Rhinolophus ferrumequinum: one gene and its partners. The protein of the gene in region 4 interacts with the protein of the main gene of each other region in a pairwise test. Links are inferred from orthologs where the notes say so. Each region holds a gene or a part of one and is shown on either strand. Other genes may lie near its edges. The genes, in order: TTLL10, RFX3, CNNM3 and FHL3.

Region 1 (6,830 bases), about 26 Mb from region 4:
AGGAGGCCACGGAGAAGGTGCTTTGGACAGCTGTCCCCTGTAAAGCGGGCGTGGGAGCCTGGCGCTGGGAGCTGGGCCAGGGGCCTGTGCTGGCATAGGATGTGTCCTGACGCCTGGGCCTCTGCGTGCTGATGGTGCGATAAAAGGCGCCAGGGAGCCCCATCGTACTGGGGCTGTGTTCCGGAAAGACGCTGGAGGCTGGCTCTCAGCGAGGCCTGAGATGGTGGGTGGCCTCTCGGCCTGGCTGGGCAGACCTCCCAGCTTATCAATGGCCCCCGACCCACTGCTAGCCCAACATTGGGGTGCAGTGCAGCCACCTGCCCCAGAGCTCAGGAATAGTGGTGGGCAGGGGTAGCGTGTGCCCACCCGGAGCCCCTGGGGACTCTGCTGCCCTCTCCGGGTGGCACCAGCCCCAGGCCTTGCTCACCTTGGAGGGGGCCCTGGGGGTTGAGGTAAGTCCTGGCCTGGACCGCAGCCACATGGACTCAGGGGCCAGGAAGGGGCCTGGCCCCTGGGCCACAGCCGTGCCTCTACCCCATCCCAAGCTCAGCGGCAGGTGGCCATTGGCTGCACTGGGTTGGGCCCCCAGGTCTGGCCCTGGGCTGGTCAGTGCTTATCCAGGACTCATGCCTCGGATTCCAGTGAGGACACCCTGCTCGGCCCTCGTGCTGCCCGGGGCCAAGGAGGCCTGGCAGGGGTTGTGTTCTTGGTCCAGCCCTGCCCTCTGGGAGCTGGGCAGGTGCGGACTCTGAGAGCTGGGGCCGCCCACCGGTCCAGATCTGCTCCTATGCAGTCCGGGTCCTGGGACTCAGGGCCTCAGAGCCTGACCCACAGTCCTCCAGAGAACTGCCAGCCAGAGAGTGACAAGCCTGGTCCCAGCAAGGGCCACTCGCCTGCAAAAGACAGTCCCCAAATTCCCTGGTACAAATATGAACCACACAGCCACCTTCACATCAGCAAAAGCCCGTCACAGACCCTAGAGCTGCTGCTGTTGGTTTGTGAGCAGAAGGCGGGACAGGGCATCACTGAGGAGGCCCCCCAGTCCTGGGGGGCCTGAGGGGGACCCCCAGCAGGGTCCCCTTGGCCTCCCTGGAGTGTTAGCCCACAGGGGGGACCCAGGGTCCCCAGGGGCAGCACCAAAGGGGCCCAGTTCCTGCTCCTGGCTGGCGTGTGATGACCAACCAGCCTCCCTGTGGCTCATCTGTGAAGTCAGCGTGGCCACCACCTGTCCGGGACGTTGGCTGTCTGACCTTAGTATGGCGGGATAAAATCACGACACACAGCTCCGAAGCCACGTCCGTGAGATGTGATTATAAAGGGGAGATGCCATGGTCTTGGGTGGAAAGAGCACAGCTGGTTTTTAACCTAATATTCATATATGTACATTCTATTTACTTACATCGAGGCACAGCAGAAAGTTTGTAGGGAGCGCACCAAAGTGTCAGCAGTGGTCATGGTAGACGAGGGCCAGCCCTGCTGGTGTTCTTCACACCCACCTGACAGTGGGCGGCCAGGGGTCTGCCTCCCACCACCCGCTCACTGCCAACCCCTTTGGTAAGCGTCTACTTCCCAGAGATGGTGCCGCCGACTGCCAGCTTTCAGGAGAGCTCTCAAATGGAGCTGGGGATTGTCGCAGATTTCAGCTCATGGGCTCCTCTCAGCCACATTTCATTCCAGAAGGAAAAGCCTCTTTTGTCAGCTCCCCGTGCTGACCTGTGCTGACCTGACGAGGCATCACAAGTGTCCCTCCCCTTCTGGGGAGAAAGGACAGGGGTGGCTGGTCTACCGTGAGCTGCAGCCTTTGGTCTTCGGAGGAGGCTACAGAAACAGCTCACCTGAGTGTGTGCTGTGGGCAAGGCCTGCTCCATAGCCAGAGCCAAGCTAATCTGCTCAGGACCTCCTGGCCCCCACGCCTGTTCCTGGGGACTTGAAGGGGCCTGGTGCCTGGGGGCAGGGGCACCTGCCTACCTGGTTTGGCCCTGCAGCTACCCCAGGCTCCCTGAACCTGTGATAGCCTGGGACCTGGACAGGCTTCTCCAGACACTGCCTTCCCAGCCCAGGGCCAGACGGTGTCCTCAGCGGCCAAAGGACCTGGTCCTCAGTCACCCCCCTGGTGGCGTGTGTATGGAAGATGCATGCCCTTGCACACGCACACAGACACACGTGCACACGCTCACATGTGTCAGGCACACACCTCGGCAGACCTGCTCCGAGGTGGTCCTCCCCAGCTGCCTGGCAGTGTCTCCACCACCATACGCTGTTGGACGTCGGGAAGTCCATCCCCCGATGTCCCTGGCCTTCCCGTGGCTGAAAGAGCCTCATGGTTGCGCTGCCTGTTCTACTCGGGACATCTGAGATGTCCCTGCAAGCAGAGCAGGACGGAAAACCGGAGTGGGCAGGGGGTCTCCAGGTGGAGACCAGTGGGGGGTGCCGCTCCAACACCCGCCCTGCTCTCAGGCCCCAGGGCCTCCAGATCACTGGCCTCTGACCTGGTGCTTGCCCGGGGCACAGACAACACCTCTGATCCCTTGGCTGTCTGGGGACGTGCTTGTGGTTCCCGCACCATGTCCCCCAACCCTCTCTGGCCCAGACCGCTCGTCATTCCATGTCTTCTCTTGGCCTTCGTTCGCTGCCCTGTCACTCTTGCCAAGGATGGGGGCATCTCATCCTCTGCCAACTCCTAACATTTGTGGTTTCCCCCACACATTGATCCTTTGCCCTGGCCAGCTGGGAAGACCCCACACTCCCTGCCCCTGCCCCATGGCCAGCCATACCTACCCCCGGGACATAATTGTTCCCTATATCATACCGGCTCCCTGCACCTGCCCACCGCTGGCTCTCACCCCCGCTTTCCAATACCTGCCCCAAGGCCATTGTCCTTGCTGGGAATACTTCCCCAAGACCCTCACCACCACCTCCTTTCCTTTGTTCAGTCCACGTGTTGCCCCCAGACAAAAGCCTCCCATCACCCGAGACCTGGTCCGTGCCTTTGCTGTTGTAGCCTCAGTGCCCAGTACCGACTTGCTCCTGGTCAGAGCTCACGGACTGTTCAGGGGATGGTGGGTTCCCTCTCTGCTCCTGTCCCCAGGGTGGTCAGAGCCTGGGAAGGGAACGTGTCAGTTCCTCTGTGTCCTCTATGTGGGGTGGGAAGCCCCTCCTGTCATGTCTCCCACTGGAAAAGATGAGACAAGCTCCCTGCTCCCCTTCATGTGATGATTTGTTTTCTGAAATGCTGTCTCTGTTCCCTTTGCCTGCATTCTCCTTCCTGAGAATGGTGTAAGCATTTAAGATGCCATTAGAATTCACAACACGCTAACCTATAGTCACTACAAGGACTCCACTGGTGGTCTCTCAAGTTCCAGGGGGCCTTCTGATGCCTAGGAGGTCAGGGGAGGGACTTGTGTGGTGCTCACAGCTGTCCATGGGGGGCAGAGGGTGGCCTTCCAATGTGTTTGGAGGCCTGGTGTTCAGTTGTGCTGTCTTGAGCCTTCCCTGCCTCTTGTGCTTTGCCACCTTCCTTCCTGCAGGTGAGCAAAGGCTAAGGGGAGGCCAGGGCAGGGGATGGTTGGGTAGTGCTGTGGGAAGGTGGGCCTGGGCATCTGGGACCTGCCGTGAAGGGGAGGTAGGGTTTGGTTCTTAATCAAATGCAATAATGTATTAAAAACAATACACAGTGATCAAATGGGCTTTGTCATTGGAATGCAAGCCTGGTTATTAAAGGAGAAAATGTGATCTCCTCGCTTGATGTGGAAAAAGCTTTTAATAAATTTCAAAACCTATTTGTGACTTTACAAACAGCTCTTGGCAAACTAGCAATGGGCGGGAAGATCACTAACGTGCTCAAGTTCCAGAGAAACCTCAAAGTGAACTTTACACTAAGTGGAGAAGCGGTGGTGCGTTGTCTTCAGGAGCTGAATCAGGTCAGGGCCGCCCCCACATCATGGCTACTGCCTGACACCGTATCGGAGGTCCTGGCCAACAGGTAAGGGAAGAAAACTAAAGGAGGGGCGTAAGGCTTGTAAGAGGAGAGAGAAAAAAACTGATGTTACTTGCCAAAAGATATGATCATCTGCCTAGAAAAACCGATAGAATTGATGGGCAAACTGTTAGAATAAGAGTCCAATAACATTGCTGAATAACAGACCAACCTGCAAAAATCAATAGTATTATCTTGAAGACATTGTGCTGAGCAAAATAAACCAGACACAGAAGGACAAACACTGTGATCCCACGTAAAAAAGGCATATAAGAGGAGTCAAACATAAAGACAGAAAGTATCTGGTGGTGCCAGGGGCTGCGGAGGAGGATGAGTGGGTGTTTAATGGGGACAGGTCCAGTTTGGGAGGATGAGAAATTCCAGAGGTGATGTTTGCACAACAGCGTGAAAGCCACTTAATGTCACTGAACTGTACTTAGAAATAGTTTAAATGGTAAATTTTATGTTATATTTCTCAATGAAACATCAATAGTATTGTAAGGATGCCGCACAAAGGTCATATATTGTATGAATCCATTTATACGAAATATCCACGACAGGTAAATCCACAGAAACGGAAAGCAGGTTGGTGGGTGCCGGAGGGCTGGGGGTGGGGGCAGGGACTGACTACATAATGCAGACGGGCTTTTTTTGGGGGTGATGAAAAGGTTCTGGAACCAGATACAGGTGGTGGTTGCACAACATTGTGCATGTATAAAGGCCACTGGAACGTAGTTTAAATGGTTGATTTTATGCCATGTGAATTTCACCTCAATTTTAAAAAATGAAAACAAAATTAATAGTCTTGCTTGATACCCACAATAAACAATTAGAAAAAAATAATTCACGACAGCAAGGGACACAATGAAGTGTGTAGGATTTAACTCAAGCGAGAAGCCACCCAGACTGTGTCGGGGAGCTGTGGAGGCTGACCATGTTCCCGGGGGGGATGGAGGTGGGGGCTGTGTACTACACAGCGACCAGTTCTCCCCCGTTAACCCGTGAGGTCCGTGTGATCCTATTCAACATGACCGTTAGAGCTTTTCAGGAACTAGATAGACTTCCTCTAGAATTTAGGAAAGAAAAAGTCGTGAATAACTAAGTGAGCCTTAAAAAGAAGTGTGTGTGTGGCGGTGGGGTGGGGGGAGCTAGCTGTCCAGATATCAGGGCCTCATAGCTCATAGCAAAGCTCCACAGCTACACAGAGCAAGCAGGTCTGGGAAAACGCCTTGATGGCCAGGGGAGCGGGAGGCGTAGGCACAGACTTTTCCATTCGAGCGTATTTGATGTACAATGACAGCACCAACCAAGTGACCAGGATTGGACCAGGCTCCTGATATGGAGCCACCCATGGGCCTGGTGGCCTGGTAGTTGGCAGGGAAGGAGACCCCAAACAAACCCTGCAACACACAGACCACCTGGCAAAAAATGGTGCATTTGATGGTGTCAAAAACAGGGCTTCCCGGCCCACGGCCATGACAGGACCTGAGAAGACAGCTGCCCTTTCCTTACCTGTGGTGCTGCTTCCCGGGGTTTCAGCTACACGTGGCCAGCTGTGGTCTGACCGTCTGGGTCCCCAACCAGCGACACCATCTGCTCCTGACACCTAGCCCACATCGTCACGGCTCGGCCACCCAGGGTCACCGGAGCAGAAGGCCAACAGAGAACGATGCCCGCGTCACTCACCTCACACATCAAACAGGCCCCGCGTCACCTCACATCATCACCAGCAGGCTGAGTGCAGCACAGTGAGACGTTTTGAGTGACAGGGACAAAAGGACCGTTACCCAGTGTGTGGGGAGCAAGGAGGGCGGCGCAGGGTTAAGAAAAGATCGTAGCCATGAATAGAGTGTAAGCGGGACCAAGGGACTCCAGCCTCAAGGACTGAGGCCTATACAGTACCTTTATTAGTTAGGTGGGGAAGTAAAGGAGATAAAGCTTGTCAATCTCAAGATCTGTGAATCCCACACATCATAATAGGAAACTGATTCAAGCCAATCACCGTTGCCTGCAGGCAGCTGGACCATAAGTCTCAGGATGTCTGTACTTCCCCGAGGGACAAAACCTTTATGCATATGAATAGATGGAGAGCACACCATTGAATCTCTTCCCCTGCAGGTTGTGGGAAGGAATGCAGCCACAGAGGCAGAGGCTCTCCTTAGCGAGGGGGGGTGCTGTGCCCACCTCTATCCACCCCATGGATTCTCCTGTGGGTCCCCACGGGCCTCCACCTGTCTTAGGTTGCCTTCCACGTGGTAAGTCATACCCGTCATTGGCTGACCAGCATCTTTCTGGGGCCAAACAGGGAGATACAAAGTACAAGCACAAAGGTGAAGCAAAGTCCCTGAAAGGATCCGTCTCACAGACTTTCCTTGCTTTAGGGGCAGGTACGAGGAGACAGACGGGTAGGCTGCTGCTTGGCAACAACTCAGGATATACAAGGAGTTCTGCCACTTAGCAGGAAGAGGACAGAAACTCCAAAACAAAGTGAGGAAACGAGCAAAGGCCGTGAACAAGAACGTTCCGGAAGAGGAGCCCCTGAGCCCGAGGGCCTCGGATGGGTCATGGCCAAAGCCGTCAGCAGCTACAGAAGTGCATGGATCACAGGACAGGCCCGTCCCCACCAGAGCACAGAGCATGTAGGCCGGGCGCGGATGGTGCCACTGGGCTGGGGACATGGACTGCCAGGCTGGGGACGTCCCGTACAGCCGTGCGTGGGGCCACAGGGGTCCTGGCCTGCAGCCTTGCCCTGGTTTGGCCTGTGTCCTGTTTGTCACTCACCTCTGTGACACCATGCAAGTGGGTACCCACTGCCACACGTGTTCCCAGCGTGAGCCTGGGCAAGAGACCCTCC
Region 2 (7,766 bases), on a different chromosome or scaffold from region 4:
ATGATGCATTTTAGAAATACATTTTAGTTTACTATATTACACACATAAATATACTACAAAAATATGCTGATACCGGTTAATTCAATTCACAGGCAAAATAATCTAAAAGACTGAGATAGTCGTTATGACAATACAACGAATCACAGATATTCAGCTACTAAAAACAAGCCACAAGTGACTCCTATTTAACAGTTTTAGTTTTAAAGAGTGGTCATTCACTTTCAGAGATTTCTATTAGTCTAAAAAGTGAGAACAAAAAAAAAAAAAAGTGAGAACACAGAAGAATAGCAATACACAATATACTCCCTTACAGGAAAAATATCACAGAAAGAATAAACGAAGTGCTAACTATTTACCCTTCTGTTAAACTTAAAAAATTGTAATTTGCTAATATTTCTGGTTATTTTCTCAATCCATATGATTGATATTGACATACTTGAGCCCAAAGCATCTCTAACAGCAACTTTTATATCACCTATATGCTTTTAAAAAAGGATAATAGAATTCAAATTAAGTTCTGCTTTCAAATCAACTTGTGAATGAACGTCTAAATTATTGAATCTGAGGTCATTTTCATGAGTGAAATGCCTCAAAAAAGTTCTTGGACACTGCAAATAAAAATATTAAACCATAACATTATAGCATATAATCTATTCAGCTGAAAACCCATTATGTAAATGGCATAAGGTCTGAAACTGTCTCAAGACAGCAAAACTCCTATTAACTTCAGAGAGAGTTTATAGGACTCAGGAGCTTCACCATCCAAAAGAGTTCAGGCATTTGACACTTATCTGAACAGAAGAAAAAAAAAATAACAAGTTAGTATTAGAGATTTGCATGGAAGCCAAGTTGGGGAGGGGGTGAATATAAAGGAATTCGGATGCTCTGAGAAAGACTTCTTTCAGAACTATCATCCTCATTTAAAATAGCAATCACAAGAAAATGTATTGAAAAAGGGAGAGTTAATAAAGAAAAAACAAAAACAAAACACAACTCTTATTTTACAAAGTATTGGCCTTAATAGTATTCCAATTACCCAACCTACTCTTTGACAATCTCAAGAATAATTAATACTGTTACATTATTCACAGTGCTCTGTCAGGTAAATCAATATGTTTACTGTTAGAAAGAAGATTATTTAAATAAGTATTTTAAAATTCCAAATTGGAAACTTCAGTATGTGCAAATATAATACTATATTTGTTTTAGCACACATTCATTATCAAAACTCTTTACTGATAATAATCTATTAATTAAACGTTAGGCAGAAAAATGAACACATTTACAGGATCTGGAAAACTGCGTTACCTCTCACCAACAGCCATACTACTTGAGGACTGATAAGTATTCAAATGTACAGAGAAAAAAATAGATTTTTTTTAAAAAGAGACTTAAAAAGGAGAAAGTTCTCTCCTCTCACCATGTTTAAGTCACTGCCCAAAGAAAACCAAAAATAAAGAAGAGTATGTTAAGTACACACATGCCTAGATCTTAACAACCATAAAGAAAGTGAAATATACACACGTTTCAAGTTGAGAAGCTTCATACATTCTTTATGAACAACTTGACTTCAATTTCAACTCTCAAAGAAAAGCGAACAGAGAAAAAGATGGAGAAAAAAAAAAACTCTTTAAAGTACCATAACTGTCACAAATAACACTGTAAACTGAGTTCTCACAAAGCTTCCTCATGTCCTTTCCCTGTTTATCACACACAAAGTCTTACAACCACAATGAAAATTGTTAACACTCCACTGTGGGGAAGGAGGTTCATCAAAGTGAAATGGAACCTCACTACTACCCCTCCCATCTCCTCATGAAGGATAAAGCACTGTCAATAACTACTAACCCAAGTATCACTGATGCCCTGCATCCGGTTTAAATCACAAGCGCGCGCGCACACGCGCACGCACACACACACACACACACACACACACACCCCAAAAAAAGAGAGGAGAGAGACTTTAAAAAAAAATCTTTTCCAGTACAGCGGAGTCCAGCGTAGAGGCCCCAGGTTTCAGTGTGCAAGGGGTGTGGGGGGAGAAGAAAGGGTGGGGGGAGAGTGCTGAATGGATATTAAGACTGTTTGCAGCACAAAGAAAACAGTTTTAAAAGAAAAAAGAAATCCGTGCAGCTGATGATGGTAAAAAAAAAAAAAAAAAAAAAAGGCAGCCCATTTAGCACAAGGCAAAAATAAAGGGAATAGGCGGTGGGAAAAGTTCACCGTTGTACGAGGATAAAAATAACAAAACCCTTAACAAGGCCCCACAAGTGAACAACAACAACAAAACACCACCTCTTGGGTACCCCCCCGCCCGGCACATTGTTGTCTATTTCGGTTTTGAAAGAAGCAGGAAACAAGCAGCTTTGAAAAAGAATTAAATTAAAGAAAAAAACCCTTCTCTCTTCACCTGACTCTCTTCTTCAGATCAGACCAAGGGGAGAGCTCCACCATCCGCAACGGAAAACTGTGGCTCCCTCTCCCGCTCATCTCGCAGCCCCCAGAGCTCCCGCTCCATCCCTGAAGCGCGGCCGCAGAGGGCCCGGGCCGGCCGGCGGGCGGGCTGCGCGGCGCCCACACCCCCGACCCAGCCGCGGCGCGCACGGTCCATTGTAAACAAGCCCGGGGGACGGAGCCCCTCGGCTGCGGCGCCGCAGCGGCAGCCCCCGGTGTCAGGAGTGAGACCCCAGCACAGCCACAGTCGGCTCGCACACACGGACACACACGCACGGACACACGCGTTCACACGCATCCACACGCTCCCACACACATGTAGAGACCGAAGAATATTCACCTTGGCTGTGGATTATTGTGGTGTTGTTGGTGGGTGATGGAGATGGTGGTGGTGGGGAGGAGGAGGAGGAAGAGGAGGAGGAGGAGGAGGAGAGGAGTAGTTGTTGTTGATGGGTAACAGTCGCCAGGACTACGGTGACTATGGCGCTTGATTCACAAGGCAACGGTTGCTATAACTCACAAAAGAGAGAGAGAGGGAGAGAGAGAGCGAAAGGGAGAGGGAGACACTCGCAAGGGGAGGGGTGGGGGAGGGAAAAGGGGAGGAGGCGGGCCCCGAGAGTCGCCGGAAGGGGCGGGCTCAGCACCATGACTGACAACCCCAGATCCCGGGCTGGTGGGGGCACAAGGCCGGGGTTCCGAGTAAGGCCTCCGAATAGAAGCTCACGGGTTTGGCAGGAGTTAGGGTCACCCCAGTTCTCTCAAAGGTACGCTATTACCCGCGCTGGCCAGGTTGGACGGGGAGTTGAGGGGCGTGGTGCGAGGGGTACGTTTTGTGAACCGAGAGCTGCCAGTCCCAGCAGCCAGCGTTTAGCAAAGGAGCCCCCGAGTCGCGAGAAGGTAATGGCTAACCCACGGAAGGAAGGTGGTGGGGTCGATTCCAAACACTTCTCTGGGCAGACCAGCAACAGCTGGGGAAGGGCCCACTTTCAAGTGCGCCCTCCGCCCCTTTGCTAAAGTGTCACTTCCGGGGCGGGGCTATCGGATGGTCCCGGATGTGCCGCCGCTTTTATTTATTTTTTTTCCCTTTTTCTTTTTTTCCTTTTTTTTTTTTTTTTAATCCCCCTTCGTTTCTCAGGCTACGGCGGTGTTCCTAGTTGTATCCGCCTTATAGCATGCCTTGGCCCGTTAGGGCTCCGTAGCCTGCGCTGCACTGGAGGGTCCGAGCCGTTTTCGCCCTCCTGCTTTCTGCGCCCTGGCCCGCTCCCGCCTCCTGAGGCCAAAATTCCGGGGAGAGCGGGCGGCGAGGCGTGAGCGAGCGGCCATCGTCGCCATCTTAGAGCAGATGAGCCGCGCGTGTGGGCAGCGCGCCGGCCTCCCGCGGTCCCGCCGCTGCGTGGCGCGCAGAGAGAAAGGTCTGAACTCATCCAGCCCTCATTCCAGAAGGAAAAGCGAGGTTATCACTCCGTACCTATGGGGCGGGGAGTAAGTGCTAGAAAGCAGCGAAAAACTGCCCTGCCGGGACGATGTGGAAACGCGTGGCGGTCCACCTCCGCGAAAGGCGTTGAGGGGTGCGGTAACTTACACCTTCCGAGGTAGCACCCAGTTAGTTTCTAGTTCCGCGCTATCTTCAGCCCTTAAGTAAAGTGCTCGTCCCTCTTTAAAGTTGACCGAACCGGGATTTGAGCTCAACCCCCGATTCTATTGCTTTCCTGGCCCTATGCCCCGGTTACTTGACAACCTGCTGTATTGAGACAGACGAACAGGCTTCCTTCTGTAGTGGATGTTGTTACCACACTACTGGCCATCTCGAACCGCTGCCCTTGGTATTGCACAGCCTCTGATACTTAACGGTTCAAATATAGTCGTCCAGTTCTCTGCAGACAGGACTCCTGCAGGCACATGCCCCCAGGCCCAGCCAGTACCCCAAACCTCCAACACAGGCAGCTAAGCTGCTTATCCAAGACAATAACCTTAGAAGTAGAGCCATAGGAAGTCCGTCCTATTCTTGAGGCTTAATTTTTGCACCTGCAAAATAAGGGGTTTGGGCCTACATAAATTCACAGTGCTAAAATAATAATAGCGACCATTACTAAGGTCTTAACACTGCCGCAGTGTTTTACATACATTATCTCATTTAATCCTCAACACTATTAGGTACATAATATTTTAGAGAACACAGGCACAGTCTTAAAAGTCAGTGATTTTCTCTTAGGGCTCTGTGTCATGGGATATTAGGGAAGGGTAGTTTGGAATCCACTATTAATAGATTTAAAAAAGTGATGTTGCCTTTGGTAATCTTATAATGAGTTATAGAGGTTCTTATAATGTGTTACAATGTAATAGTGAACAGTGGTGAGCACAGTGCTAAAGCTGAAAGGTTGCATGACTCACCACGGTACTAGTAGCCCTTCTAGTCTGAGACAAATGATAATGTGACCAACAGCAGTTCAATTCTTCAAATTTAGAATAAAAATTGCAACATACACATGGGAAATAAGGTATGCATTCCAGCTGTATGAAAACTGGTAGTCATTATGAATATTCGTTTTATTATATTCCTATAATGGTGTACGAAACTGTTTGCTCACACTACACAGCTCAGAATAGCTTTGCTTTTTTAGTGCTATTGTCTGTTGTGGTTAGCCTGCCCCTTCCCTCACTGTCAGCTGTTGCTTCTTAACTGCTGTCAGTGAACAGTTCTGTTAGCCTCCCCACCCTTTTAATTTGCTGCTTTTAATCTACAGGCAAGAAAACCACATAATGAAGCTTGAGCAAAACTGTCTCAAGAGTATAAACAGGTACTTTGAGGAACTCTCCTTTAGAAAAAGTTTGCAACCTTTGTGCAAGGACATTATAATATCAGTTTTAAGCTGCTTAGAGACTTTTTTAACCTACTTTCTGATTTGGCTTTTTCCTTAGGAATAAATTTCCTTAAGTAAGTTATTTAAAAGTTCAGATTTAGAACTTCTAACCAGAGTGAGATTAATATGAATTTTTCAATGTTACTACCACACTGAATCAAATAAGCCACCAGTTCAAGCTATAGATTCAAAAACATGTTGGATTATATATATATGCATGTATTGTTTTCTGCTATATAAATAGTTATGAAAGGACCTAGAAATCTGTTTGCCTATAGTCAGTTCTGATTGGATCTCCTTTTTCGTCATTTTTAAGCTGTATAGTTGCATCTTCATATATGTTGTGTATATATTTCAGAAATAAATTATTTGTTAAGTCACAGAAAAGAGCATTGTCTAACATTTATTATCTGTTATAGTGCATTACACACTGGGCTCAATGATAAAAGGTATCTAACCAAAAAGTATCTTAACAGTTCTTGACAAATTCGATAAACTGTTAATGCAGTAATTATTTGTTGAGTACCTAAAATGGACCAGACATAGTTCCTGTCTGTGAAATGCTCAAAGTCAGTATCTATGAATTTAAAATGTTATGTCCTTTGAACTTGGATTGTTTTTGCTCTCAGCTCAGAGATATTAGACAGTTAACAGATTTGTATCTGAATCATTTGAAAAATACAAAGCCCTGATTATTTAGGTATAGATTATATACTTTATAAATTAGTACATTCTCATGGGGAAGTTTCCTTTTCAATATTATCTATTAGGTTATTTTCTCCTGTTGATATCTACCGAATATTCAAGGACTGACATTAATGCTTGTAGAAGGAAAAGCTGCCTATGAAAAGATAAAATACTGATATGTGATGGTTCACTTCCAAAAAATTGTATGTATGAGAGTTTTGAAAATTAATGTATTGGTCTGTGGCAGCTTACCACTGAATTTGTGGGGAATCCTTATTATAAAGCAGAAGTCACATCTACTTAAAAATTGTATACTTCATTATAATACCCAATTTTCTTAAATTAAGAGACACCTAGAGTTTTAGTTCTCGTGAAATGAATGGTTTCATTTCAACCATTTATTGACTACTTAAGATATGCAGAGCACTGGGGAATTAGACTACTGGATTATTAAATGCCGTAGATCTGAAATTCTGTGGATATATGATAATTGTCAATAATAATAGGGAGTGATAGAGGCCAAGGCAATTCAAACTATACATAATTTGCCACTCTTCTCTGGAGCACCCCCAACTTTACCCATACCCACCCAAAGTATATTTTGGTTTTGAAAACATTATAGGTTTTGTTTTCTTTGTTTTTTTTCGTAGATTTGTCTTTCTAATTGTGTTTTATTTAAGTAATACAAACCAAGTATTTACTCAGCATTCCTAAGTATGTCCATCCTTATATATAACTTGGAATTATTTTTTTACCCCAGCACAGAAAGATGATAAGTAATAGGTAGTAAGATTATCCTTGATAAATTTTCAAATATGTGTCAAGTGTGACCATACGGTAGGTAATGTTGATTTGCTGCTCAAAGAAATGAGTCCTGCTACTTTCTAATCCTGAATACATCTAGAAACTAAAGAAATTGCTTTGAGTGAACTCTAGATGATTATCGAGAATAACTTTCTTCTGAGATAACATTAGGAGTACTTGAGAGATTTTGGTGCTAACTCTGACCAGGTTGAGAAAGTTATGTAAACTCTCTAACAGTTAAGATTGGAGGTGGAAGGAAATATTTATAAATTAAGAATTAAAAGACTTGAATGATCTCAATTCTACAATTGTAATTTTCATGAATTTTCAGAGATGGCACATCAGTGAATTGTTTCAAAATGCTAAACATGCGTTTATGTAATACGTCTGTGAAATTAGGAGGTTTTTTTTTGGTGGAGGAAATACTAATATAAATAAAGTTAATAGATACTTCTACCAGCATTTCATTTCTTAAGAATTTTGTGAACCCCAAGTAGACTTTTACCAGGCAATGAACTTGAACTCTATTAGAGGTTAACTCTTATAATTTAATCAGCAATTAATGTCAATATGTGCTGAAAAGCTTTTTATTTTTATTCAATTAATATCAAAAATATTTATCAAAAATGATTTTATTTGAGCCATAGTCTTCAACTGCCAAAGAAATTCTTAAGTTGACTCTCTCTTTAATTTTTTTCCCCTTTAATGTACAGTCTGGAAAAAACATCTCCTAAGTTCCTGTCGGGCCATTATTCCTATTTTAAACATATTAAAAGTATATTCCCCCTGGAATACATACATCTTATCCTCCCTCCCCCCACCATCACAATACATTATTAAGCCTACATTTAAATTTTTTTTGACTAATATGCCATTGTTAAAGCATATAACTGAATTTTTTTTACCCTTCTAAATATTTTTATCAACTACTAATATAAAGAAAAAATAAAAATCATTGAT
Region 3 (7,076 bases), on a different chromosome or scaffold from region 4:
TCTCCAGGCCCATGTGCACCCTGCCAGCCTCTCTCCTCTGCACCCCTGAATCACTGGTCTCCACACCAGTCAGTGATCATGAAACACCCTCAGGCGCCACTGTGCTCTGCTCACAGGTGTCATCCTGGTGTCAAGTCCTGCCTTCCCAGGGTCTCGAGCGGGGAGGCAGCGGGATGAAAGAACCCTTCCTCGCTGACTCCAGGCCCAGCACTGCTGGCCCCCAGGACACCACTGCCCAGAACACTACAGTGGCCCACAGGGAGTATTTACCACTAAGAGGCTCTGTCAGGCCCCCACCCAGTGCTCCCCGCCCCAAAGAGGGGCTGCATGGCCACTTTCTGGGGAGGCAGCGGGGTGCAGCCAACAGATTCTCTAGCAGAGCGGTCAGAGCTGCCCCCAAAGCAGCCTCCCAGGTAATCAGAGGCATAGGAGTTCAAGTACTGTAGCCAGGTGACAATCTTCCTTAGGCAAGCCTCTAGGAGAGAGGAGATGATGCACGTGAGCGCCCACTAGTGTCTGCTTTACACAGCGCTAATGCAGGACTCACAAGGTCACAAGGCCCAGACTCCCCAACTGTCAGGGACTCACAGAACACCTCCCAGGGGGGGCCTGGAGCCAGGACACCTCCTAGGTGCCAGGAAGCTCAAGGGCTTTGCTGGCTTCCTGGTCTCACATTATGCATCCTCCAGCCTCAAGGCCACCCAGAATCCTGGGGTGTCCCCTGTGCTCATCCTGCAGGAGTTCGGATTTGAGAAGCACAGATGGCTGGCGGTCAAGGAGCTCTGGGAGCACAGCCACACCGGGCCATGAGAAGACTGCACAGGAAACCACACCTTCACATTTGGAGGGTGCAACCCTAGAGTTGCTGGGATAAACCAAGGTCAAAGGTGAGAATGCAAATGTGGAGTTAAGGGAGAATGTGAGAGACCTTACTCAGGGTTAGAAAAGGGGGAAGTTAAAAAAAAAAAAAAAAAAGACAGCTGAAGGGAAGACTGAATTAGCGCCCATGAAGTTGCTTTTGGTTAAATTCAAATCCAAGTGGCAGTTTGTTCCACACCCCCAGAAAGGTATTTTTGAATCACTCTTTTCTGCAGTCAGGAAGCAGCAGCCCATCAGCAACCTTAACAATGACGACCTGAAAACATCACAGGCACCCCTCATTTTACTGTACTTCACAGGTGTTGCGTTTTCTAGAAATTAAAGGCAAGACCCTCCACCAGCAAACAGATTAGGACTCGCTTTTTTGTTGCGCTCTGGAACCGAACCCTCACCACTTCTGAGGTGCACTTGTATGTGTGGGCACGTAAGTTTCCAGGGACCTGGGGACTACACTCTTTTCTACCTTCTTTTAGTTTCTATCCAAGAGCTTCGACCTGCTACAAAACCCACAAAAATGACCCGGAGCGGGAAAGAGCTGGGGGTTAGAGCCTAGTGGACATACCTCCCCAGATTGGGGGCCTACCAGGTAAAGGGGGATTTTGCTGTCTTTAGCACTGTGTCCCTCTCTCAAGGACAACTTTTCAATATTTCAAAAGGTCATTCAGAGCTGCAAGGCCGTCATCGTCTTTAAAACGGGACTTGCAGGTCTCACTGCTCTCCAGAGGCTTCCATAATCCCCGACCCCTTTTATAGGGGGTGCGGGGCACAAGCTTTCGAGTCCCCTCCGCGATTCCCAGACGTTACCTCGCTTGAACTCCTCCAGGACGGCGTCCAGCTTGGTGTCGTTGAAGACGAAGTGCACCGGGTGGTTGTAGAAGCGGGTGATGGTGCTGAGCGGCGTGCAGTCGTCGGGGTCCACAAAGGCCAAGTCCTTCAGGTAGAGCATGTCCACGATGTTGGAGCGCTCCTCTTCGTAAACGGGTATGCGCGTGTGGCCGCTCTGCATGATGCTGGCCAGGACGCCGAAGTCCAGCACGGCGCGGGCGTCCAGCATGAAGCAATCCTCAAGCGGCGTGAGCACGTCTTCCACCGTCCGGCACCGTAGCACGCCCTTGCTGAGGTCGCTGTAGGGGTCGCCACCACCTCGCGCCAGCTCCAGCACGCGCTCGCGCAGCCGCCCGGGCCGCGCCGCCAGTTCCAGCAGCTGCCCGACCGGCAAGGCCACCGGCAGGGTGAGTAGCACCGCCAGGCGGCTGAGCGCCAGCGCGCGCGGAGCCAGAGCCAGCGTCCAGCGCCCGCTTACGGCGGCCGGCAGCACTTCGGCCACCAGGAACGCGAGCCCCGCGCTGCCCAGCACCGCGGGCACGGCGCGCTGGCCGGCCGCGCGGTAGAGCAGCACCGCCAGCGCCGCCTGAGCCACGCTGGCCAACAGCAGCAGCGCGCCCAGGGCGCAGCCCGCCCAGCGCCGCGCCGGCTCCAGGCGCCGCGCCGCCGCGCGCTCCGCCTCCGAGCCGCTTTCGCGCAGCACCTGTACCTCGGCCGGCGCCAGCGCCAGCGCGCTCAGCTGCAGGCCCCGTGCCAGCGCCGCCAGCGCCAGCAGCCCCGCCGCCCCCAGGCCCAGAACCCAGGGCGGCGCCGCCTCCTCCGCCGTCTCGCTGCTCAGCTCCGCGCGCACGGCCTCGGCGCGCAGGCGCAGCAGCGCGCGCCATTCGCCTGCGGGGGCCGCCGCCTTCCCGGTAGCCGTGCCGCCAGGCTCCCCGCGCACCGCCAGCAGCGCCGACTGTGGGCGCTCAGCCTCGGCGCGCAGGCGCAACAGCGCGCGCCACTCGCCCGTCGGGGCCGTAGCCTCACCGGGCACCACAGCCGGCCCGCCCTCGGGGCAACCCGCCCCCTCGGGGGCCGCCCAGGACCAGGAGCTGTTGGCGAAGCCCGAGCCGAAGAGGCGCAGGCGGAAGGTGGCCTCCGGCGCGGCCGGCACCTCCCCTCCGCGCGCCCACGCCGCGCCCGCGGCCCCGGCCTGCTCCAGGCAGACGCCCAGCACTCGCGGGCCCGGCGCCGCCTCCCCGGCGGCGTGGCCCAGGCAGAGCGCAGCCAGCAGCCAGCCCAGCCGCCCCGCCGCCGCCGCCATCGCCCGCTGCCCCCTCTCGGCCTCTGCGCAGCCTACCTCCCCCCTCCTCCGGCCAATCGGCGCCAGACTCGCGCCTCCTCCGACCAATCAGCGCCGGCCTCGTGCCCCGTTCGCCAATGGGCGGTGCGTGGGGGCGGGCCCAGGGGGCGGGCGAGGCTGCGCCTGGGCGTAAACAAGCGGCGCGGGTCGGGACCGGCCGGGGGCGGGGCTGACAGCCCACGGGGTGGACTAGGGGCTCCGGGTGAGGTGTGGCCACCCACTACACAGGCCGGACTCCAGCTCTGGGAGATCCCTGGCTGGAACGCGGGGCGGGCAGCAGTAGGCGGAGGTCTCGGTGAGGGAGACGTGCGGCTTTCTGAGGTAGGGCCCCGGAACCGCCGACCTGAAGGCGGGGAAGGCCGAAGGAAGAACCGGGACTGGGCCCCGGGAAGCTAAGCTTCCGTAAGATGCATGTTGATGGAGCCCGACCCTGCTGTAGGTCCGGGGACGGAGACGCAGCCCTTGGGCGAAAATAAGGAAACCTTGGACCCTCGCCTCTACTTCATGTTATTATTTTCCAGGAGAAAAACGAAGCGTGTGACTCGACGAGGATGTTGAGGTCCGACGCGACCTAACACCCCCGTCCCATCCTCGCCACTCGTTTCAGGAATGCCTGGATCTGTCACTGCAGTTCTACTTCTTCCTTGGTCCCAGGCTCCCTGGGGAAATGACCTATAACTCACTTTGTTGGGAAAACCTTTGTACGGACACTTGCAGCAGTTGGATCACACTCAGAAAACCATCAATACCCGAAGACCTAAAGAACCCAGCGCAGGGCAGCTTCTCAGGAGTGCCCTCCTGTTAACAGTAAGAGGCCTCACAGGACTCCTCCGACTGCTTCCTCCCGCCTGTGCCATTCTTGCCCGCCCCCTGGTTAGTCACAGCATCAGTGGACATACTTGCCACTTGATCTTCAAGTCCCTCGTTGACTCTCCCTAGACCATTTGCCTTACTGGTTATTTGGTTCAAGGTATTTCCATGTTTTATTTAAATATTTGAGTTTTAAATGCATAGCTATTGTGGCTTCATTGGCTGATTGCTGCTTCTCTCTCAAGTCTGCAAACGTCACTTCCTGGAGCTGGTCTTCCTCGACTCTTGACTCAGTGGGTCAAGTTTGTGGGAGCTGTGTGCTCTTACCTAGTAGCATGTAGTGCTTATTTTATAGACCCATTCATTCATTCATTCATTCAACAGGTATTTCCTGCATTGAGTGCCTGCAGTGTATCAGGTCCTGTTCTAGTGCTGGGATTTATGTGGAAATAAGAAAGTCCCTGCCCTCCTAGAACTTAGGTTCTAGTATGGGGACAACAGGAAATGTACAAATCGTGTTTTAATATCTGGCAGTTAGGATTGGGGCCGAGCTGTTTTATGGAGGGTGACAAGGAAGGCTTCTCTAAGGAGGTTACATGTGCATAGAGGCCTAGAAGGAGCAGGAGGTGAGCCTCACAAAGACCTGGGGAAAGAGTGTTCCTGGTAGAGGTAACAGCAAATCCAGGGGTCCCTGTGTGACTTATCTTCCTAGGAGGTCTGCCTCATTAGACTGAGGGGTTGCTGGCACCTGGTGTGGAACAGGTGGATGGATGAAATTTACTCTTCCCACCTATACACAAGTTTTTGCATGTAATTCCTTTTATCTGGAATGTCCTTTCTGCCGACCCAAGTAAGTGCCTCTCTTTAAACATTCTTCCCGATTTGCCTGCTGTGAAGACAGCTGGCTTGAGTCGCTGAGTCCTTGACACACTCAGTCACATGCGTACCTATGAGCACTGCAGTAGTGGACGCAGTGAGGTCACTCAGCCTTGGGCAGGCTCTTCCGGGATGAGCTCTCCCACTTCAAGACCACGGCCAGCCCATGGGTGGACGAAAAGGCAACTGCATGTTACCAAACAATGTGATCCTGTTTTTTGGATCAGGCTCCTTTCTCCTTCAGCCCCCAGGGGAGAGAGAAGGGCCGATTTGCTCATTCCAACTGCCCATCCAGGACCCACAGGCAGGAGACCCTGAGGTGTCCCTCTCATGACGGGATTCCCAATTGTGGCCGCTGAGCACCTTTATCATGCATGTCCAACAGCTCCTGTGGCAACAGCCTTGGTTATGTATGTGCTGTAAATTACATTTCTGCCTCTTTGTTTACTGCTAAACAGCTCCTATGGAATACTTGCCACTTGTCCTGACACAGGTGACAGCCACTTCTAGCTCTATGAGAGGTACCAAATGTTGATGGAACTCAAATAGGTAAACCATAGACTCACCAAGATTTCATGTTTCATTTTTTTATTACCAATCAAAAAATAAATTCCATATATTGTTTAGCAAATATTATCATTTTGTGACAAAAGACACAAGAGTCGAACAACAAAACTCCCCGAGAGTCAAACTCATAACAATGCCAAAATAAATCACAAAAATATACAAATTAAAATCTTACGCAAAATAAATAAGAGTCATTTGCTATGGTGGCTGTGACTTGCCTACCCCTTAGGAGGCCATCTGCACGGTTCTCCCTCACACGGGCAGACGTGCAGGGACGGGCCCATTCCAAGGTAGGGCTCAGCCCAGGAACCAGAGGTTGGAATAGGAAGTGAAAAATTGCACTGGGAGGAAGAAGTCATGGACCAATAATATCTGGAAGTCATTACAACCCTCTGCAAGAAGAGATTATAAATGGGGAAGGGAAGGGCAGGGCAAGGGCGGAGGGCGCGCTGTTGATAGGAATTGTGTGTGCAGAGAGGTAGCTGTGGAAGTGTGTGTGCCCGCTCCTTGCACTTCACACACTCGGTTCAGGCCAATGCACTTGGCCCCGCCTGGCACTCAGGTCTCAGGAACACCACTTTGCAAGCTCCCGTGTGCACTCGGGAAGCAAGCTGCTCCTGTAGAAAACTAAGGGGTCCCCCCAACAGGAAACAGGTCTGGTGTCTGAGAACCCATGGGTGTCATCACCTTCTCTCCAGACCTTTAGGAATAAATTCTGTGACTGGCCAGGGGCAGGCATACTTGGTGAAAGACATTTCCTGGTCCCAAGACTTAGGGTTCTCCAGGCACCTGAAGCGCAGAGCACTTGGCTGAGGAAGGAGTGAACAGACAATACTCAGGCCCGAGGCCTGCAGAGCCCCCCTCACCTGATCTTGGGCCCCAGCAACTGTGCCACCCAACAGAAGGGCCAACACGGTCCTTGGTCCCACAGCCTCCCAGGGATGGGGAGCCTAGAGCTAGCTGTGTGGCAGGGCCTGACTCGGCCCCAGGGAAAGGCGCTGGGGCCAGAGTTCCTGTGGGCGTGGAGCTCTGGGGGTCCAGTACCACCAGCTTCGGCACAGGCCAGGATGAAGCCTCATTGTAGGGTTACGACATGGGGGACACAGGGCTGCCAGTAGTATGCCTTCGAGGTGGGAATCTTTCCTGGGTTCTGGACGTGTGTGAACAGGCAGGTAAGCCTGACCAGGGGACAGGGCATGCAGAACCTGCTGACGCTGGCTTCCTACATGTCCTCAGTCCTCAGCCCCCAAGAGGCCTTGGGGTTTGGGATTAGAAGTAGGGAGTCTGGAAAGCAGGGTTCCTGGGTCACTGTCTGAGACTAGACTTTGGTTGTGGGCTGGGGAGGGTATGGTATCACTTGCTAACAATGCACGACCAGATTCCCTCCTAGAACTGAAAGGAGTATCGCAGCCAAGTCACCTCAAATGGAGATGCTGTCCCCACCCAGGGGAAAACCTTTGGTAAAAGTGAGAGCAGCCTAGGGAGCAGGGGCGAGCAATCTGAAAGGTGGGAGACCCTGCCTAACATTTTGGGTCAGCCCCATTACAAGGGGAGACTTGTCCAAAGGGGCAGATATGAGGCGAACCAATGGGGACAGGGGTGAGAGTCTCACTGGCCCCAACTCACCAGGAGGGCCCATCAGCAGTTCTTGGAAATTCCTTGATCTAGCGAGTGACAGGAGCACGCACACTCTTCTGCCGCTGGGAGCATCTGTCCCTGGTCACAGCTGCCCAGACCCCTCGGTCTCAGTGACGTCAAGACCAGCCTCCATGCACGT
Region 4 (7,341 bases):
CTGGAGTAGGGGCTATGCTGTAGGGTGGACGGTATCCCCCTTCTCAGTCTGCCCCCCACCACTCGGGCCTGGGTTTCCTCTGGCCCAACATCTGAGGGTTGCCTGGGCTGTCAGCCACTGGGCAGCAGGGGGCCACACAGGTGGAGTGAGTATGGCCATGCCTCTGTCCCAGAGTGCCCTGGGCCTTTTCCTTCCTTCCTGGCTTGGCCCAAAGCATCAGCCACCTTCCCAGGCCCAGGCTACCCTAGGGCCCGCCCCCTGGAAGGCAGTCACCACTCTGAGACAGGGGCACCCCAAATAGGGTATGGGCATGACTTCTGTTTCCTTCCCAGAATGCCCTAGTCTGTCCAGCTGGGCTCTAGTGAGGACAGAATGAAGGGCACTATCAAGGCCCACCTGTCTCTGCCCATTCTCCGCCTCCCCCTTTCCCTGGCAGGGCTGGGGGAACTGAGGGAGCCAGTCTTGTGTTCCTTCATGGCTGGTAGGAGAGTGCAGGGGAGACTGCTCAGGCTGCCAGATGGCTCTCAGCCCTTGCCCCCACCAACACACACACACACACCCCTACACCTGACCCAGACATACAGCTGGCACCTCAGTGAACCTCCTGGAGCTCCGAATGGCTGGATAAATGGCTGTGGCATGCATGTGGTGTGCAAGGGCTTGAGCTGTGAAATATAAGCCTGGGTGATCTTGGGCAAGTCACGTAAGCTCTCTGAGACTATTTTCCCATCTAACACTATCTCCTACCTCCTGAGGTGGTTGTTGTTGGGCTTAAATGTTAAGATACTTAGAAAGCACCCAGCAGTTAGTTAGTTAGCAGTCAGTAAAGGGAGCCTATTAGTGTTCTTCTTAGCCCCTCCCTCATTCTGGGTTCAGACAACAGGTACTCAGCCAGGCCTGGGTCGGGGAGCACCCAGAATTTGACCTGGACCTTCTCAGTGTAGGCCCAGGGAGAGAACAAAGAGGAACCCCTTGTTCTGCTGGGGGCACCAACGAGGCTCAGGCTATCAGGCTAGCCCGACTCCAGTCAGCATAACTGACACCCCTCACACAGGTACACAGGTGCACACACCTGCATGCTGCTGTGCCTCTCACAAAGTGCACACCCACCCACCATCTCAGCAGATCTCACAAAAGGCAGGCGGGATAGTGTGTCATCTCCATTTTACAGCTGAGCACAGAGGCCAGGGACAGGGTAGGGGTATGCTCAAGGTCATTCAGGTAGCAGAGAGCCCAGGGGCCCTTTCCTGTTTCTCTTTCCCTGGAAATGCTGCAGGGATGGTGGAGGGGGTGGTCAGCACTTTAGGAGCAGGAGGACATGAGATGCTGGATGACATCAGTAGCGCAGGAACCCAGCTCTTCGCCCCAGCTGCCAGCCCTGAGACTGGAAGACACCCAGAAGCCTTTCCAATTACCCATGCCAACTACTCAACCCTTTTGCCCCCCTGCAGCCCCCAATGTCCAGGAGAACCCTGGCCAGGTCCCACAGCTGTGAGTCAGGATCTGAACAGACCCCTTCTCCAGCTCCCTGGAGTTGACAGGAGACTAAAGGGGAGAAACTGAACTCCCCCCACACCCACCCCTGCTATCACAGGCACCAACCGCCCCCCCCCAAACTCTCCCCTCCCCCCCACGGGGCCTGGGAGTCACAGCAATTTAGGGCAGGGGGAGGGGGTGGGAAGCAGGATCCAGCAGCTGTTCTGGGGACGAGAGGAATAGTTCATTCACCCTGGGTCCCCCAGGGCTGAAGCAGCCCATCCAAGATGAGTTTAAAAATAAATTGGGGCTGTCTTGGTGTATGCCTGGGGCTCCTTCTTGAGCTCAGTCTTACTGTCTCAGCTCCTCTCGTCATGGGGACTCAGCCCAGAGTTTGTGTTTTCCCACATCCTTGCTTCCCAATCTTCTGGGCCTGAGTCTCTCAGGGTCTGTCTTGGAAGCTGTCAGGGCACCTCCATTAAATCTCAGTCTCTCGGTGACTAGCTCTGTTCCACTCACCCTGTGCCTGTCTCTGCACACTTCAGCAGCTGTCTGTATGTTGTGGGTCTCTGTCTCTATGACTGGCTATCTCCAAGCAGCCTCCCTCCGTGGATTTCTACCTCTGAACACCCACGTCTGCTCTCTTAGTGTGTCTATGGGGAGGAATGCCTTGGTCTCCACCCCACCCCACCCCAATTCTCTACCTCTTAGCCTCTCTCTATGCCTGAGTGTCTCTGTCTCCAGTCTCTGAATGTCTCTGTAGGCCTCACAGAAGCTGATTCACCACAAGGCTAAGGAAGCTCAGGCTTCTGGGACCCTCACTTGCCCAAGGTCCTGGAAAGGGCGCTATGGCGTGTTCACTAGGGTCATTGTATGCCTTTTCTTAAAATGCTCCACAAAACCTGCCTCCGTCCCTATGCCTCCGGTCAGTCTCTCAGAGTCTCTACGCCCAAGTGGAGTCCCTGTTTTAGATAACTGCAGCCTCCTGTGTAAGCCTGTCGTTCGTGTCCCGGTCTCAGTCTCGGTCTCTTGCTCCACCCGGCTTTCTGGGAGACTCAGTTTCTCAGAACCCTCCGGTCTTTCTCTCGACTCGGACTTTTCTATTTCAAACTTGGCCCCCTCCCTCGCCCAACTCTCACAGTAGCGCCCGCCCCGCCGGAGTACCGGTTGCAGTGCAGACCCGGGCTCAGCGATCTCCCGAGATCGGCGCCCTAGGCGCCCGCAGCCGGACCCAGGCGGGGGCAGGGGGCGGGTCGCCTCCGCTCCCTTCCCAGCCGGAGGGCGGGGGCCAGGAGCTGGGATCCGAGCCGCGCTCGGCAGAGAGCTCACCTCGAAGCCGGCGGCCGGAGCGGGGAGCGGCGTTCGTCGTGGGTGAGGGTGAGGGGGGCCGGGAAGCCGGGCCCGCGTCCCTCGGCGGCTCCTACCTGCTGGCCGGGCCGCGCGGAGGCCGAGCGAGCTGCCGGCGAAGCTGCCGGCTGCAACCGGACCGTGTGGGCGATTGAGAGCGCGGCCCCAACCCTCCCGAGGAAGTGTGCGCGGGGGCCCGCCCCGCCCGGACCCCGCCCCCGGCCGCCCCTGCCCGCGGGGTGCGGAACCCGCCCCCGGCCCCTAGTCCCCGAGGCGGGGGGCAGACCCCGCCCCCACCTCCCTTTTAGACTGGGGCCCCAGTCCCCCTCCTCCGGCCCAGCCTAACCTGGCTCTCTCAACCTTCCTGGGCGGCCAGGACCCCGCCCCTGTCCCTTCCTTGCCGCTTCTGCTGCCCTCGCTCCCTGCTCCCTCCACTCTCCTCCCCACCCCCACCCCCCCAGCCTCAAGCGGGAGTCTGCTGTATTCAGTCTCAGTTAAGGGGTACAGGACCCAGCTAGCTGATCAAGGTCCTTTTGGGGACCAAGAGTCTTCATGCCCTCTTTGTGTCCCCCTCCTCCCAATTTACCCCCAGGGGGTCACACTCAGCCCGGGTTTGTGAAAGGGGCCTTAATCTAGCCTGGAAGAGAGGGTGGTTTTGACTCTGCCATCACGGCCCTGTCGATGGGGACCTAGGTGTTCTCTGGAAAGAGGAGTGAAGAGAGGACCCCACCTCCGCCCTGCAGTAGCGCCTTGACCTTCAAAGGGCTTTATTCCACAACTCCGATTGGCAAAAACAGAAGTAGTCACCACCTCACCTCCAGGTGCATCCTGGGACCGCGAAGTCCTGTTTAGGTATCCACAGTGCCCAGGAATAGTTTTGACCTTTGAGGCCCCAGGGGGGATTCTACTCCTTGGCCCCATGATTTTTGGGCTTCTCGGAGAGCGGGGTGAGGAGTGTGCGCGGTTGAGGCACAGGGCAGGGAAGTAGAGGGAACCCCTCCTCCCCCACCTCTACAGTTTCCAACTCTCTGGCTTCCTCCCTGTGCCCGGGAGGGAGGACTGGCGCCTGCCAGGGACACAAGGCCCCTCTAGGTCCTTGAGGCCAGCCCCCCTGGGATCCTCAGGATTGTCACTAGGAATAAATAGCCTTGATCTGGAAGGGTGGGGGGAGGAAGGAGGAGGCTCTGCTGTGCTGTTTGCAAAACATGAAACAACAAACCAACCCTGGAAATAACCTTCGGCATCTAGAGTAGAGATTCAGAGCCTCTCCCATCCCCCAGGCTGGGTCCAGCCAAACTCTCAGAGCAGAGACTCTTTCCCTTCCAGGCTGGGATTCCTTAGTATCCTCTTCTCCCATCTCTGAATCACATGCCTGCCTTCCTGGGTCCCAAGTCACCCTCCAGACCAGATTTCCTCTCAAAATTAACTAATTGCTTGTTTATTATTGTTGTTCCTGTGTCAAGAGGGCAGGAAATGGGTCCTTTCTGTTCGCCACCACTTTTCCAATACCTACTCTAATGTTCGGATAATAAATATCTGATGAATGAATGAATGAATGAATGACACTGCTTCAGTTTGGATACCCCCTTTCCTCCCAGTTTGGACCATAGGCATCTGTTATCTGGAATCCAGGGAGTGAGCAGTCAGACCATGGGTGGGCCCTTTCTCTGGGATTTGTCTTGCAGGTGTAGGAGACTCCCAGCCCCAGGAGGTTCAGGGAAGACTGCCTGCCATTTTCCCCGAAAATAAGATCGGGTCTTACATTAATTTTTGCTCCAAAAGACGCATTAGGGCTTATGTTCAGGGGATGTCATCCTGACAAATCATGCTAAGGTTTATTTTCCTATTAGGTCTTCTTTTCGGGGAAACACGGTAGCTGAAGTTAGAGGCCAAAAGGGTTCTGCTGTGATGGGGAGGGCACAGGTGAGCAGCTTTCAGAAAGGGAGGAGTTATGAGTGAGTGAGGAAGGTGGATCAAAGGTATAGTTGGGGGTCTCTAATTTTTTACTCACAGCTTGAATTTCTGCTGAAAAGCCTTAACAAGAGTCCATCTTTCCTGAATTCTTAACTTTGTACTAGTACCTAAGCACTTTACATATATTAGTGCACTTAATTTTCCAGCAACTTTATGAAATATGTATTTTTATCCCTGTTTTAAAGATGGGGAAATAGGGGACAGAGAGAGTAAGTAACCCGCCAAGGGTGACACAGCTAATAATGCCAAAGCCTGGATTCAAATCCAATCAAATATCAAAGCTCCTTAGGCTAAAAAAAAAAAAGAAGCTTAACTGTTAGGTTCTAAGCCTCTGTAATCATTTAACCTCTTTAAGCCTCAGGCTCCTCATCTGTTGAGTGGTTGACTCTTGTCTCATAGCATTCATGTGAGGATTGGATGAGAGCACACAGTAGGTATTTAATATATGGGACCTCTTCCCCACCCCGGACACCCACACACATTCCCTTTCACAGTCAAGTGTTAAGGTTCTGCTGATGATGAACTTGGAGTCTGGAGGCCAGTTAAGCGACTTCTGATTTGGCCCAGCCTGGGGGAGGGACTGTTGTAGGCCAGGGGCTGTTTATCATTGTTGTTTCTCATGCCTACACTGTAAGTGCCCCTCTGGTTCTCCTCCACATTTCTAGCTCTCCAGTGGGCTCATATTTCCCTGCCCGCTCTATTTCTGTTGACCCAGGAGGACATGCCCCAGGGAGGTCTAGGGATCAGCCACATGGACTCCCTGTTCCTGTTCTCTATCAGTCCCCCTCCCTCCCTATCTCTGAGGAACAGGTGTGTCTGAGCTGGGGCTGGAAGCAGAGCCTTAGTCCTGGACGACCAGCCTTGGGTGAGTGGGATCTGGTTGTCCCTTTACCCACCCAGGTGGTCCCCACACACCCTTATCTTGTGGTGGAAGGGGGCTTGCTCAGGATCTCCCAGCTGTTCTCTCATCTTGGAAGGGCTTTCAGAAGGTGGCCTCGGGTGATGACTGACAGGCCTCTCGTGGTTTCCTCTTGAGTACTGAATCACTCTCTGATGCTTGTAACCACAAGCCTCCTTCCCCCAGTGAGAAAATTTCCTTCCTTCTTTGGGTATATTGCTCACCCTTACCCTTTGGACTGCCTAGAGCCCCTGCAGGCGGATTCCAGGTTTCTTTATCCCTTCCAGTGTGCAGAGCTGTCTTCTCCTGGGTGTACCTATTACTCAACGCCTTCTTTAAGGGAAGCAGCAGGAGTGACTGGGGCTGCCACCAGGTTACTCTGACTAATGGCTAGGCTTCTGAATCAAGAGGAGGCTGGAAAAGTGGGCATAGGCCAGATCATAAAGGGCCTTGTCTTTCAATGGTTAAGTAACAAATGAGATGGAATTTTGTTAATGCATGTGGCCCTAGTTGGGCAAGCCTCAGACTCAGAAAAAAACTTTTCACACTTCAGATCTCAGCTACTTTTAGGTTTTATCATGCCCACTGGTCTATTGGACTTCCACTTCTGGGGAATGAAGAGAGGATTTCCCCAGAGCTCCTCAGCAGGAAGAGTGAGCCCTGTCGTGAGAAATGGATGTAATTACAGCTGAAATCTAGCTTTACATGGTGGAAACTAAACCCAATGCTTCTGGAGTGCTCTGCAGTGCCCAACCCTCTCTCAATCCTCACATTTAGGTTTAGTAATAACAGTAATAGCTCAAAATTGAGAACTTGCTAAGGGGTGAACACAGCATTTTAAACATGTTACAGCGGTACCTCGGTTTTCGAATGTGATCTGTTCCGGAAGACCATTCGAGTTCTGAAACGTTTGAAAACAGCCGACAGCTAGGCCTCAGGATCTTGCACTCAGTGGACGCCGCGTGACATGTTCTACTTCCGAGGTGTGTTAAAAAACTGAAGCATTTACTTCCGGTTTACGGCGTTCGTAAACGGAAATGTTCCTCAACGGGGAAATGTTCGTCAATGGAGACGTTCGAAAACCGAGGTATTACTGTATTTCATTTAATCCTCACAATAATTCTGTATTACTACCTCAGTTTCACAGAGGAGGAGACCAAGGTCGAGTGAAGCTAACTTTTTCTTGGCTGGTAGCAGTTAGGATCAGAACACACCTCCATGGTTTATGGTCCTAATCATTTACATGGCACTGCCTCTGACACTCATGCTGTCAGCCAGCCATTCACTTGAGGGTGTAAGGCTCAGAACTTTATAACTACTGCCATGATATCACTCCTCCATTCAGCTGTGAGTGCCTTGATGGCTCTTTGAGGCAAGCAGCGCATGCTATTATCTTTGTTTTATGGCTGAGAAAAACGATGCTTATTAAAATCAAGCGACCTGTCAAAAGCCACGCAGCCAATGAATGGCAGAGCCAGACATGGTTTTAAGGTCCGCACTCTCTACAGAGTGCTCTTTTCCTGTACACACAAAATCCACACAGCTCCTAGTTTTAAATACACCGCGTAAATACAAGCGTAGAGCCCTAGGTAACTGCGCATGCGCACACTCCACGCCCAGCTCGGCCTACGGCAGTGCCAGCCACG

The links.
Region 1: the proteins of FHL3 (region 4) and TTLL10 interact in binary tests that used the Homo sapiens proteins (3 or more experiments, as listed by UniProt). The two-hybrid records come from large-scale screens. The link is inferred for Rhinolophus ferrumequinum from reciprocal best matches to the Homo sapiens genes FHL3 and TTLL10.
Region 2: the proteins of FHL3 (region 4) and RFX3 interact in binary tests that used the Homo sapiens proteins (3 or more experiments, as listed by UniProt). The two-hybrid records come from large-scale screens. The link is inferred for Rhinolophus ferrumequinum from reciprocal best matches to the Homo sapiens genes FHL3 and RFX3.
Region 3: the proteins of FHL3 (region 4) and CNNM3 interact in binary tests that used the Homo sapiens proteins (3 or more experiments, as listed by UniProt). The two-hybrid records come from large-scale screens. The link is inferred for Rhinolophus ferrumequinum from reciprocal best matches to the Homo sapiens genes FHL3 and CNNM3.

Annotation. Positions count from the first base shown.
Region 1 is NC_046292.1:317,774-324,603, forward strand, and holds the start of TTLL10 (inactive polyglycylase TTLL10), read left to right. Parts: upstream 1-3,815; coding exon 3,816-3,982; intron 3,983-6,830. UniProt on the Homo sapiens protein: Inactive polyglycylase.
Region 2 is NC_046295.1:32,635,374-32,643,139, reverse strand, and holds the start of RFX3 (transcription factor RFX3), read right to left. Parts: upstream 3,009-7,766; 5' UTR 2,795-3,008; intron 1-2,794. UniProt on the Homo sapiens protein: Transcription factor required for ciliogenesis and islet cell differentiation during endocrine pancreas development. Essential for the differentiation of nodal monocilia and left-right asymmetry specification during embryogenesis.
Region 3 is NW_022680356.1:2,261,916-2,268,991, reverse strand, and holds the start of CNNM3 (metal transporter CNNM3), read right to left. Parts: upstream 3,023-7,076; 5' UTR 3,008-3,022; coding exon 1,684-3,007; intron 1-1,683. UniProt on the Homo sapiens protein: Probable metal transporter.
Region 4 is NC_046292.1:26,548,399-26,555,739, forward strand, and holds the start of FHL3 (four and a half LIM domains protein 3), read right to left. Parts: upstream 3,019-7,341; 5' UTR 2,806-3,018; intron 1-2,805. UniProt on the Homo sapiens protein: Recruited by SOX15 to FOXK1 promoters where it acts as a transcriptional coactivator of FOXK1.